Drosophila melanogaster: one gene and its partner. The protein of the gene in region 2 purifies or fractionates together with the protein of the main gene of each other region. This does not show direct contact. Each region holds a gene or a part of one and is shown on either strand. Other genes may lie near its edges. The genes, in order: KCNQ and SLC5A11.

Region 1 (5,087 bases), on a different chromosome or scaffold from region 2:
CATTTCGCATGGATTAAAGGGGTAAAAGGAGCAAGAGAGAGAATCGAATAAAAAGCTTTTCACTCATTTGGCTTCATTGAACTCACGTGTTAATTATAGATTATACACACAATTATATGCATTTTTATGGAGTTTTTGGGCGCGAGGCAGCAGAACACACAAAATGAGAATCAATTCGTATCATATTGATTAATCGTTTTCGGTCAATGGGGTAAGTTTAAAAAATTTAGCAAAAACGCCTTTGAATGCAGCGAAAGACAGAGATGGAAAGACGAGGCGACAGAGCGAGTGCGACAGAGAGGGAGATTGAGTCTGGTGCTGATGGTAGAAAAGCTGCGAATTAACTATATTTAATTTTTGATTTTAGATGTGGGAGCCATGTCTACGGATGTGGGTGCTTTTGGGGGCTGAGGAACACCGCCCGTACAAAATGATTGGCAGATTGCTTGAGTCTTTGCTTGGCTTGATTTTGATTGCTTTTTGTTACGGTTATCAACTTTTACCTATATTCAGTTATGTTTTTTAATAATCGCTCCCAGTTTTCAGAACTGAAAATGTTTACAAAAATTATATTATCTATGGGAATAAGTAAATTATATAGAACATAAGTATTTAATCGAGTGGACAGAAGAAAGACGGATAGAAAGACAGTCGGGTGGCTATAGTTGCATATGCTAAGTATCTCTATTTCTACCTATGAGTGTTTTAGTTTGATCAGTGTTATTGTTCTGTACACATTCAATTTCCAATTGAGCTCTACATGACAAGTTTCCAAAATTTAGCGCCTTTCTACGCGCTTCTCACAAGTTCTAGCTCGCCAGCTCGTAAACAAGTTTTTCTTTGGTTATAAACACCAATGCGAATAGTGTTTGTGTCAGTGTGCATGTGTTTGTGACTGTGTAAGTGTTTTATCGATACTGTACAGTACTCGTTGAACTTCTCTTCTGTAATATACCCCCAAAAGATACTTGAGTTTCATTCAAATGTTCCGCCCCACAAAGGATCAGTCGATATTAAGGCAATACATACGAAGCTGGCGGACTGGGCAGCGCCACCCGGTGGATGTTCCACGTAGCCACCGATACGGAATGCTCGTCGGCCGCATAGCATCTCCACACGGCCTGGATGAGAGTGGCCGCCGGCTGGCGACGGCGAATCATGTGCTTCTGCCGCTGCTGCTGCTGCACCTTCAGAGCAAATCCGCTGCCGAGGATGCCCTGGGAAAAAAGAAGGTATGAAGTGAAATTCGAATTTATGATCAACTGTGGCTGCGCTTCTATGATTGATCGATAAGAATAGTATAACAGCACTTCATTGTCAATCATAAATAGTGAGATAACATGTCTTTATCACTAGCCCTCGTATCAAAAAGTAATTAAAAATAGGTGGCACTATTAAAGCTATGTTTATTCGTAATCTAAAAGTGACTTACAGCTGGCAAAGCGAAAAAGGATATTCCCAGAAGGGCGCAGCAGGAGGCAATTAGCTTGCCCTGCCAGGTGATGGGCACCATGTCTCCATAGCCCACCGTGCAGAGTGTGATCTGGAATCGAAAGGATGGGCTAGCACTGTGATTATGTCATGGGATCCAAGGGACTCACCACACCCCACCAGAGGGCTTGGGCGAAATTGCTAAACTTATCATTGACGTCCTTCTCCCACATATAGACCAGGAATGATGCAAAGATTAGACCTAAGAACCCTATGTACATGGTTGTGATCAGTTCCTGCAAGTCAAAATATATATGTAGATAGGAAATCGTGTACGTTTTTAAAGATAAGGCATTTAATTAACTTTAAAGCATGTGTTATTTACGCAATTAAAGTGCACTTGTCATCCCGATAACGATAAGAAAGTGATCTTCTTAAGCACTCTAATCAAAGAGAACTTGAGCAAATACTTTCAAGGTGTAAACGTGGAAAACAAACTCACCTGTCTATGTGCGTATACAACCGAGCCGAGCAGCTTCCAGGTGCCGCCCCGCCGATCCATGCGCACCATCCGAAGGATCTGAAAGAACCGGAGGCCACGTAAAGCACTCGTGGCGAACACCTGGCCCGAGGTGCCCATTCCTAATACTACAATTGAGGCTAAAATGGTGACAATATCTGGAATGCACAAATATCATTCAGTTAGTGAAACTAATTTTTTTTTTTTGTTATTTACCTATAATACAGAATGGTCGCTTCACGAACTTCAGTCGACCCAGGCATCCCTGGTATCGCGATCGGCAGCCCGATGACCAGAGTCGAGCTCCAAACTCCATTGTGAACCAGATAACCACCAGGATCTCCATGCGGAACAGAATGTAGACGGCGTCCTCTTCGTACTCCTTGATGGTGGAAAACACACTGAGCGCCAGGCAGGTGAACACCATCAGGAATCTTTAGGAAATGAGCAATCACAAATTATTGTAATGTAAAGTAAATAAATACTTTTTTCTCTTATGGCATTCAATAATTTTTAGTGTAATAAAATCAACACTGCTTCTAAAGAAATTCACTTTTCTTACGTGAAGCTTGAACTAGATGCTATTATGAACACTTTAACAACGTTTTTTGCAGTGTACTTACACCATCACATGGTAGAAGATGGCGTGCAGGCCGCGCGGCCGCTCCAGGAAGTTGTAGAGGCGACTCTGGAGGCGCCGGTAGCGAACATCGCGGCGGGTGCCGCGGTTGTAGTTCAGCGGCTTTCCTAGGAGTGACATTCGCGGTTGCAGGATTCGTTCCGAGTTCGGCCTGCCCGGTCTACATTTCCTGCAAGTCCAGAAGTTTGAAAGTTTAGTATTTGAATTTGCTGCATTGTGGTAATCACTTAAGTTGCTATTATTTTTTCAAGTGTACCCCTTGTACCCCCTTATGTCGTAGAAGGCATAAATATCGTTGTCCGGATCCATTCTGATCTCATTCCACAACGCTGAGTTCTCGGAAAATCTCGGCAAATATTTTTGACACTTCGGACACGTCTGGCTCCAACGACGATTGAACCGCAACTCGATCGACGGGCGAGCGACGGCCGGTTAAAAAACCTTCCTTAACAACTAGACTTTCAAAACCCCATGTGTAAATTTTATTAATTATCTACATAAACAGTTTTTTCGTTCCACACACCTTGCATTTTTACGACAGCCCAAGTCTGCGTAGACCTCTATTTGATTTGTTTTAATAAATACCCCATATACCCAAGTATATTGCAGCTCGTCATCAGCAGAGCCCCATAAAATTTCGCGCATTTTAGCGACGGTTTCGTTTCGGCTCCCCATCGCCGTTGTGGGCGGGTCAGGTTCGCTTTAGTCACGATCTCTCGACTTTGTCTTTGCCCAACGTGCTGCCTATCGATCCTACGTCATTAACATTTGGCACTTGCCATACCCCAACAACCCAAATATGGGTGAGTTTTGGCAATTCATTCGGGGAGTGCTGGAAAACTACCAGCCGCTAATGGGAGCGTTTTACTTGGATATTGGTATTCGATTCTATAAGGGTTTCAGTGGTAGGATAAAATTAAGTACGGCACCTAAACAACAGATTTAAGGATCAGATACATCTCTCTCAAAAGTATTTATTAAAAATAGGGAAGATAAGATTTTGTTCAGATACTTTTAGCTTTCAAATATATGAATTACGAGACAATGATCGCTTAATAAGGAAATCTATATAAACTGCTTTTGTCATGATTATTGATCTATAAGAAAAGATCTTTCACAAGACACATAACAAGGAAACGCTCAACAAGAAAAGAATTCAAGCTTCTCATCTTGACCTTCTTGATAAATCAATAAATTAACTGTTCATAAACAGCTTTAGATGAAAGCAAAGCAAATAATCGTGATTTCACTGGCCAGAACGTGATAAATACCCGCTAAATGGTGAATATCATGTAGTTGTAATCAAAATAATAGTACGAGCATAGCATTTTATTTGAATATCACATAAATGTTAGTATAAGAATTATAACTTACATCTAAGATACCTATATATCAGATTCAAAATATTATAAAATGTTTAACATAAATATAATTTTTTTTTTAATTTTGTGAAAATATTAAATATTTTAGAGTTATTTAAATCGTTGACGAATTATTTACTAGACATTTCATCACTATTATTTTGAACACCAGTGTCCATAACAAAAATGTGTTAAGTGGACGTGTAACCATCATAGATACTTATTGTTCAGCTAATTGTATGTGGGAAGCGGGAGAGCCAGTTCTCAGGTCTCTTTTCCGGCAACTTTTCAAAGCTCCCCTCGAGCGAGATAATTGCAGTGCTGAAGTCAGCTATCGACAACGGGATCGCGAAAGCTCCCCACTATCCCCAATCCGTGGACGTGTGCCTGTGTTGGGGTGCTTCGAGTTCGCTCTATGAGTCATATCTTATCTTCCAGCGATCCCCAGCGCAAAGTGCTGCCCATCACCATAAAACGCGGAGAGTGGGTAAATTTTAAAATTGTTTAATGCATTCTTGCTTGTTTTTTTGATTTTTTGTTTTGTTTTTGTTTTGTTTTTTTTTGTGGTGGTTTGTATTTGTATTTTGTGTGTGGCTTAGGTTAGGCAGTAATAATTAAAATATACGATGTGGGTGCGCAGTAATGCTCGCTTGGCCATTTTCAGAACGTATGTACACAGGGGTTCGCTGCGGAGAACAGAACGGCACTAACAGTAGAGTAAAGTAAATGTAAATGATTCGTGTACAAGATCACAAGTTGTAGCACCAGGCGGGGGACGAAGGGCGGTTCGGGTTAATGGTAATCCTCTCCAGATACGGAAGCATGTAGCCCATACGTCGCGCCTCACTTCTTGGCATCGATGATGATCTCGTCGCCCGACTGGATGTTGTAGCTGTACAACTGCTTGTTGGGGTACCTCATCTCCTCCGGCCCGAATTCCTTGTAGTCCTGATCCAGATAGTAGAGGCGCATCTTGTTGGGCGCCAGACCCACCAGCTTCTCCAGCTTCACCTTCAAATCGTTGACGGTCAGATAGATGTCCACGAACCGGCTCTCGCTCACATCGTTGTAGGTGAACAGGACCTTGACCCGCTTGTCTGGTTTCAGGCTCACATTGACCAAGGGATCCAGCTTG
Region 2 (7,438 bases):
TGCGAGGAGCACGATGCTCCGTACATCGAGGCGTTCCGAGAGCGGTTTCATGTGCTCTCCAAGGATGCCACGGATATGCTGGGAGAGCTGCTTAAGCCAAGGCTGGCATTCGCCGGTCATTCACATCACTTCTGTCACAGTGTAAATCGACTGGGCATCGATGAGTACACGGTGGCCTCATTCAGCTGGCGAAACAAAGTTAATCCCAGCTTTATGCTGGTGAGTATTATATTTGCTCTTACGATTGTTAGCCCTTCGAACTTGTACTAACATGCCATAACTTTTAGGCCACTATAACCCCCGATGACTATGTGGTTTCCAAGTGCAAAATGCTGCCACAGCAGTTTGTCTTCAATAGCTATCTGAGTGCTGGCATTCTTTGCCTAATTGTCATCGGGTTCCAGCTACGAAAGTGCATCCAAAGCAGAAGACAGTCGTCGGCTGTAGATCATCGGAAGGTTAATTAGTATGTATAAGCATGCCTATACAAGGCATATCCTCTTTTGTGATTTACGCCTGATTGGGGCTTAGTTTAGACTAGATACGCCAGATTCCAGACTCAGATCCCAGATCCAGATCCAGACAGAGGTCATATCATTCCTGCTGCTTTGCAACCGCTTAACTATATTCTAGGTGTACAAAATTCGGATAGTATGTATGATCTATTTATTGAATTTATCACAGACATTATGCTTGTAAAGTCAAACGGAATACATAATGAGACACAGTCTGCTGACTACAAATCGAAAATGCCAAAAAAATAATGCTTGAACAAAGGCTGGAAAGTAAAGAACGGATACAAACAGAACAATTAAATAAAGCTATATTATAATACATTTACTATATAACGTTAATGATTGTGCACTCTGTATTCTGAGATGCAGATTCATAGGTTCCTGTACTTCGGTTTATGTCTTCCAATATCTGGATCACATTGTACTAGACTAGGCTATCTATAAGGTAACTACCACAAAGCAACTACAACTACAAACTATGCTAACAAAACAGGGTGTGGAATTCAATGCCATCAATTCCATTAGTTTGGCACAGGAAGTTCTGGTTCGTCTATTTTAGGATACGTTTAAGAGGTTTTTGTGCGCCTGCGCATGGAGATTGCGACCACTAAAGCATTCTTTTGGAAGGAATCTAGAAGAAAAAATGGGTTTAATAACAGAGGTTAAACATGTGGTTACAAAAATTACCTGTGAATCACTGGTGATATTAGATCCGGATCTAGTGTTTTCATATTTGTGGGTTTGGTCACAAGGGAGACTAGTGCACCTACCACAATGACTGTGGCCACACCAATGGGATTTATCCAGTGGTAGGACAGTCGGTACAGTGGAAAAACTTGCTCCTCATCTACCCATATATTTTCCCGAAGCGTTACATTGCCCACACATCCCTCCACGGATACGGGAAGCTTTTGAGAATTCAATTCACCCGCTGCGATGGTAAACTGCGTTCCAAAGGATATCCACCCGGCGAGCAGAGCACTTGCAATTCCGCCCACAGCAGTGCCTACAGTATTGGCCCAGGGAACGAGCATTCCCAGGGTAAACAGGCCAAAAGTGGTTCCAGCTGCGATGGCCGTCATTGAAGTGCAAATGCTCAGGATTCCACTCAGTTGTTCCAGGACAAATACCAGTGATAGGGCCACAAAGCCAAGAACTATAACAGTTGACTTTACCAGAATGGTGGAGGCTCTTTCACTTGGTTGCATCTTGAAGCAGCCGCGAACTATATCCTCCAGGATTACCAAGGACGTTGAGTTCAGAACCACAGAAAGGGAGCTCAAGGCAGCTCCAAATATGCCGGCTATAAACAAACCAGACATACCATAGATATGACCCACACTCTGAACGACAAAGAGCGGCAGTAGCTGATCGTCGTGCTGCAAGGAAATAAACGTAAGTAAAGTTCAAAAACAATTTATTATTTACTCACTGTTATTAGTCCCGCACTCAGAGGATCACAATCTTTGTACATCTCATAGATTAGCAGTCCCACATAACAACAAACAGAGACGAAGGCAGCCACGCCAATTGTAAAAATGGCCATGGAAGCACGAGCCTTCTTGAGCGATGGAAGAGACATGTATCGCTGGACCATGGTCTGGTTGACGGCATTGAATGAGGTCCAGTAGGAGAATCCCCCGATTAGGACGCTCCAAACAGTGTGCCTTACATAAGGCGATGGGTTTGTATTGTTAAAGATCAATCGGCCACCTTTGGCAGCATCATCGAAAAGGACATTCAAGCCATTTGCATAGACAGTGGCCAAAATAGCCACAGCAAGAACGGAAAGGAACATGACCAGCACCTGCCAAGCATCTGTGTGGACCACTGCTTTGATTCCTCCCTGAAAATAGGCGCCATTAGTATAAAAACATACGTATGAAACTCTCTAAAACTTACGACAAAGGTGTAGAAAACACACACGACCACAATTACCACTGCAATCACATGGAGATTAATGCCCGATACTGCAAGATTATCGAAAGATTAAAGTTGTGTTTCAAACAATTAACAAATGCGGCTTACCCTGATTCAGAGCTATAGCTGGTACATACACAATGAAAGGCAGAAACAGAATCTAAAATTGGATCGACAATTATTACAACATTGCAGTCCAAATATTATCTTTGACTTACCTCATCCAGAATAAACATAAAGGATGCAATACTTCGTACGACCGAATGAAAGCGCATCTCCAAGTACTGAAAGCAATATTATATTTCATAATTCAAATGACTTGCGTTTAGGATTCGAAAACTAACGTCATAAAGACCGAAAACGAAAACTAATTGCTCGACACAATTGTCAAGTGGCAGAAAACCACATTGCAATTAATCATATCGAACCGCTGGAACCCAGAAAAAAGTCGCAACAAGTGGGCGAGTGCAAAGTCCAAGAAATTCCACTTGAGGGGAGGGTGGTCTCCGATTCCCAGTTAATTAAAGTGTTCACTACGTCCTCCGTTCATTGATTGGACAAAAGTGACGGAGCGAAAGGGGGAAGACGGAAACATCTTAGAAAGTTTGTCATTCTTATCAGCAACCACTACAGATGAACTTGTCTATCTTTATTTTAACTAACTCGTCATTGAAAGAAATGGTGAGTATTTTATAGCTAAATTAATATTTCCGTTAAAACCCAATTTACATTTTTGGTTGCGTTCTGGACGTTATTACTTTTACTGTTAGCATAAGCTTATTGACCCATTAGATTGTAAATGTATAAATCAGTTTATAGAATTTACGAGTATCGTACCTCATAGGAAGAGCCTACTTGAAGAGCCGAGAACACTGGTATGTAGACGTAGGAGACGGCAATACCTTGGAGCATTATTGCTATGGCTATAAACCAATATTGCGTGCCATAATTGTAGATCTCAGAGGTTGTGCCCAGTATGGTAACGCCCGATATATAGCTGGAAATAAAAGGGAACAGATTGTACAGGCATATTTGGAGGTGCGGGATCGCATCGCCAACTCTACCTGGCTATCAGGCTCATGGCAACGGGGAAAACTTTCAGATTGCGTGACCCTAGCAGATACTCGCTCATCTTCTCCGATCCGAAATCGTGTTTCCGCCTTTTTGGCGTGGTCGTCGGCAGAGTGGGTTCCGCCTCCTCGAGCTTCACCTTGCTCTTCCTGTAATTACAACAATTGTTTGGCAATATTCCGAGGATTTGTTTAAAGGTCACTCACTTGATGCACCCGAAATAGATGCCCGTGCTGGTGGATAATACGATCATGCCCAGGAAAACGGCATAGTCCACACTGCCAAATCTGTAGTTCTCCATGCCCTTCTTTGCCACCTAAGAAAAAGAGTTAATTTTGGGTCAGTTTATGATCTTTATATGATTTAGTTTAAAGTTTGTTGTGATTCTCCTTGGCAGTGACAATCTCTATCAGGTGGTTTTAAAGTTCAGAAACTTAATTTGTTTCTTTTGTAAGAACAAGTGTGCGAAATGAACTCAGAATTCATATAATCATCGCACGTCTGGGTCTGTGGCCAATATACTTGTAATTGCTGTAGTTTGTCTTAAATGGGTCATAAAATGAAAATGAGACTCTTGCTTTTAAAGTACCAACTGTGTACGGTAAGAGATTTTCTTAAAAGCTAGGTATAAAAAGTTAGCAAATACATGCTAATTACAATTATCTCGCTTTGTTTATTTATGTATTACTCCACAATACATTTTTATCTGCTTTTAAACAGTTTGTTTCGCTCGTCCAAAATGCCATGGCTTAATCATATTATTAAAAGTGGTACTTAAGTCCCTACAACCACAATGTCCATGTCCATGTGAAGTTATGGGAACCAGGTCTTATCAGCAGGTGCCTGCTTATTATTCATCAATCTCTACGGACTAGAGACTTTAACCCTTTTCCCCATGTATTATTTATTTAACATGTTTAGCAATCGCTTCAAAATTACAAAACATTTTATTAATATGATTTCGCGTTATTATCAAATGCATATTTGGCAAGATAACTCGTTCTGGTGACTTTGACATTATCCAGCTTTGGTTTTCTAGATTATGAATCTTTTGTTATTAGCAAAATTAATATATTTTTAATACTCCCAATTTTCTTTTACTTTCTTAGTTCCTATCTAATGATGCAGACGGTGTTTAGCATAAAATACTAATTTTTCGTCTGCCATTTAGGTTCATTGACTGGATGATCAATCGGAGCCGATCGAATCTCAGAGAAGAGACTTCAACCTTTTACGCAATATCTCGAGCAGCAGCAGCATTATCGCCCTGGACTTGGACTTTGTAACCCAAATGCCGTGTCCCCCGCTCCAAAGTTCCTAAATAGCTCTTAATGTTTGGAACCGGCGAAATGTGCAAAATACGTACCGCTTCCATATTGTTGGGGACCGGCAAACGCTAGGCTTTACAATGGTGGGGGTGGCTTCCGTAACTGGAGCAGCGGAGGTGAATGGAAAATTGCGCGTCCCTCACGAAAATCAACAGCAAAGCAACGCACGATAAACGGCCAGAAAGAGCAAACTACCAACAAATTCTGCGAAACGTAATGAAAATTTTCTTGTGGCAAAAAGGGTCAACGGATTCCGTGTATTTCCATTGGTTTTTAAAAAAGGGTTCTATAAACGTACAAAGTTAATCACATGGAACACATTAAAACAAAACTCGGAAACGCACGGAAAAGTTTTTCAGGTCTGTTCTGTGCGCTTTTGCCCGATTCTTTGAAGTCGAAAATACGAGTGTACAAAAGCGAAATATTCCACGTCCGAATCGGAGCAACAACATCAACCGATTCCGCTTCCGAACTGCAACTGATGTCTGCGAGCGGGTCGAAAATAAAAGCCACTAGGCCAGCTGCTCGACAAAAACAAGTGGGACAGCTAGAATGGAGAGTACCGATCAAAGTATACCCATTACCTCATATTTAACATAGGAACAACGGAACAGAATAAAAATAAAATGTATAAATAAAACTAAATGTATAAATGACTCAAGTATTGGGAATACAACTGATATTTTCTGGATAAAAGTATTATTTGTAACATGAACATAATATACCCCTTAATACTGCGCTCGAAAAGCTCCCTCTCCCAACCATTTATCTTGCCATTGCGTATAGAGAGAGTAAAAGAGCGAGTGTTGTAAATGTGTGGGGGCTTTGGCAAGATTAGGTGGGAGAGAAAGCTTCGTTGCTTTTGTAATCCTCACAATGTATTATGTCAATGTAAGTGGTTACTTGGCCATTCGATCAGCTAATGGAGCTATTAACGGAAGTTTGGAGCAGCTAGTTGCATTCAGATGAAAAAATACTCAACTGTTGTTATCCGCTATTATTCGAACAATTTTAAAAACACATATGTTAAAAGGTTATTAGTATTAATATGACATTATGGGTTTTCTGTAATATTGAAATTATTATATATTCACTATCAATTGCTCAAGTAACGTGTAGTAAACTACACACCTAAGTTTACCATTGCCACATTTAAAAATAGAAGTAATTTGAACACTCCCTTTTGGTGGTAAATGAAAAAATAATTGATTCACTACCGACATCGGGTCCATCTAGAGTTTCACTTCACGGGTTTAGCGGGGTACTCGGAAGTTGAGACGTTCCTTTGGTTACTCCGTTGGATCTTCTCCCACCCATCATACCACGAAATACTCTCTGGATTCAGAAAATCAGAAAGTCAATCAATAGCAAGTGACAGGTTGTCATGAAAGAACTATTTAGAATGAGCAACCACAACAGATAATTGCACAATTGTCAGTGTCAGACTTTTGCCACCATTCGCACTCGCAGTGCGCCGTGGGTTTCCAATGAGGAATGTAATTGGATTAGGCAGCAACCAAGTCCGAGACCCAGTCTCAGTTTCAGTCCCAATTGCAACGGGAACACGCGGTGGTGCTCCAGATTGCCTGGAATCCGTAGTCCGAGCTGCAGGATTGCATAACCGGGAAGCATGAGCAGGGAAAATCGCTCGAAAATCGCTTTCAAGCGAAAAACGAGTAACGGAAACAAGAGTGGCCAGTTAACGGATTACGAACGCATCCGAGGGGATGTGGAAATAGTTGTTCCGAGCCCACCTCCTACTCCAGCTGTGCCACCCAGTGCATCCTTAGGGAAACTTAAGATAAAGTTGAGTTCTGCCAAAATTTCCTTACGAAAAAACGCACAGACTTCGCAGAATAATCTGCAGACCGCTCCCTTACCAGACGCAGTGCGTCGCAAATCAGCACCACAACTTTTTACCTTTACTATTGCCCCAAAGAGCGAAGTGACTTCGAAAATACATCTACCCTCAGTGCCAAAGCTACCGGGTTTGGCACCAAAGAGCTCCATCCGAAGATCTAGGACTTTGGGTTTGTCGAATAGTGCCCAGGGTGCAGGGTCATCAGGTACAGGGCTATCCAATGTCGAACTCGGTGTGCAGGATAGGGACAGTGGCAGTGAGCCCACTAGCAGCTTGGCTGGAGGAGGTAGCTCTACTTCGCCTGAATCCCTTTTGGATAACATACTCAGCGGTGCCTCCTCCGTTTCCGTACAAAGTAGTAGCAGCAGCCAAGCCAGTAATGCTACGGTGGCACAGCCCATAAAAGCAAAGGAGCAACTGCATCCCAAGAGGCTACTCAGCTTGAAGGCTTCTCCGGAGCTGAGAGTATCTCCACCAACTCCAGACACTACTCAACCCCAGGTCCAGATGCCAACTCAACTTCTGCTTTCACTGACTCCAAGACCAGAGGTCTTTGATGCACCCTCACCACTGACCAGAAGTCCCTCACGATCTCCCGGAATCTCTCCCCCCGTGTCACCATCACCCAGCATTACTCTCAGACCGAGTACCCCTCCCGAGAACACCGTAATCTTCACAGATGATCTCAAGTGCGGCATCTGCCTGGATGTTTACACAGATCCCAGGACACTGCATTGCTTGCA

The links.
Region 1: the proteins of SLC5A11 (region 2) and KCNQ purify together in Drosophila melanogaster (affinity purification with western blotting; one study listed by BioGRID). This does not show direct contact.

What each region holds. Positions count from the first base shown.
Region 1 is NT_033778.4:10,151,875-10,156,961, forward strand, and holds the start of KCNQ (KCNQ potassium channel), read right to left. Parts: upstream 3,004-5,087; 5' UTR 2,901-3,003; coding exon 2,848-2,900; intron 2,761-2,847; coding exon 2,575-2,760; intron 2,472-2,574; exon of another isoform or gene 2,386-2,471; coding exon 2,168-2,385; intron 2,110-2,167; coding exon 1,934-2,109; exon of another isoform or gene 1,728-1,933; coding exon 1,602-1,727; exon of another isoform or gene 1,544-1,601; coding exon 1,433-1,543; exon of another isoform or gene 1,425-1,432; intron 1,233-1,424; exon of another isoform or gene 1,218-1,232; coding exon 1,030-1,217; exon of another isoform or gene 1,002-1,029; intron 900-1,001; exon of another isoform or gene 843-899; intron 549-842; coding exon of another isoform or gene 504-548; intron 1-503. Other genes in the region: mlt (mulet), read right to left, coding at 4,796-5,087.
Region 2 is NT_033779.5:8,199,815-8,207,252, forward strand, and holds SLC5A11 (Sodium/solute co-transporter-like 5A11), read right to left. Parts: upstream 5,319-7,438; 5' UTR 4,882-5,318; coding exon 4,873-4,881; exon of another isoform or gene 4,678-4,872; intron 3,823-4,677; coding exon 3,713-3,822; intron 3,656-3,712; coding exon 3,500-3,655; intron 3,433-3,499; coding exon 3,273-3,432; intron 3,117-3,272; exon of another isoform or gene 2,720-3,116; coding exon 2,654-2,719; exon of another isoform or gene 2,596-2,653; coding exon 2,544-2,595; exon of another isoform or gene 2,486-2,543; coding exon 2,418-2,485; exon of another isoform or gene 2,362-2,417; coding exon 1,948-2,361; intron 1,911-1,947; exon of another isoform or gene 1,895-1,910; coding exon 1,203-1,894; intron 1,147-1,202; coding exon 1,071-1,146; 3' UTR 651-1,070; downstream 1-650. Other genes in the region: PGAP5 (Post-GPI attachment to proteins 5), read left to right, coding at 1-219, 288-466, 532-541; CG8419 (uncharacterized protein), read left to right, coding at 6,465-7,438.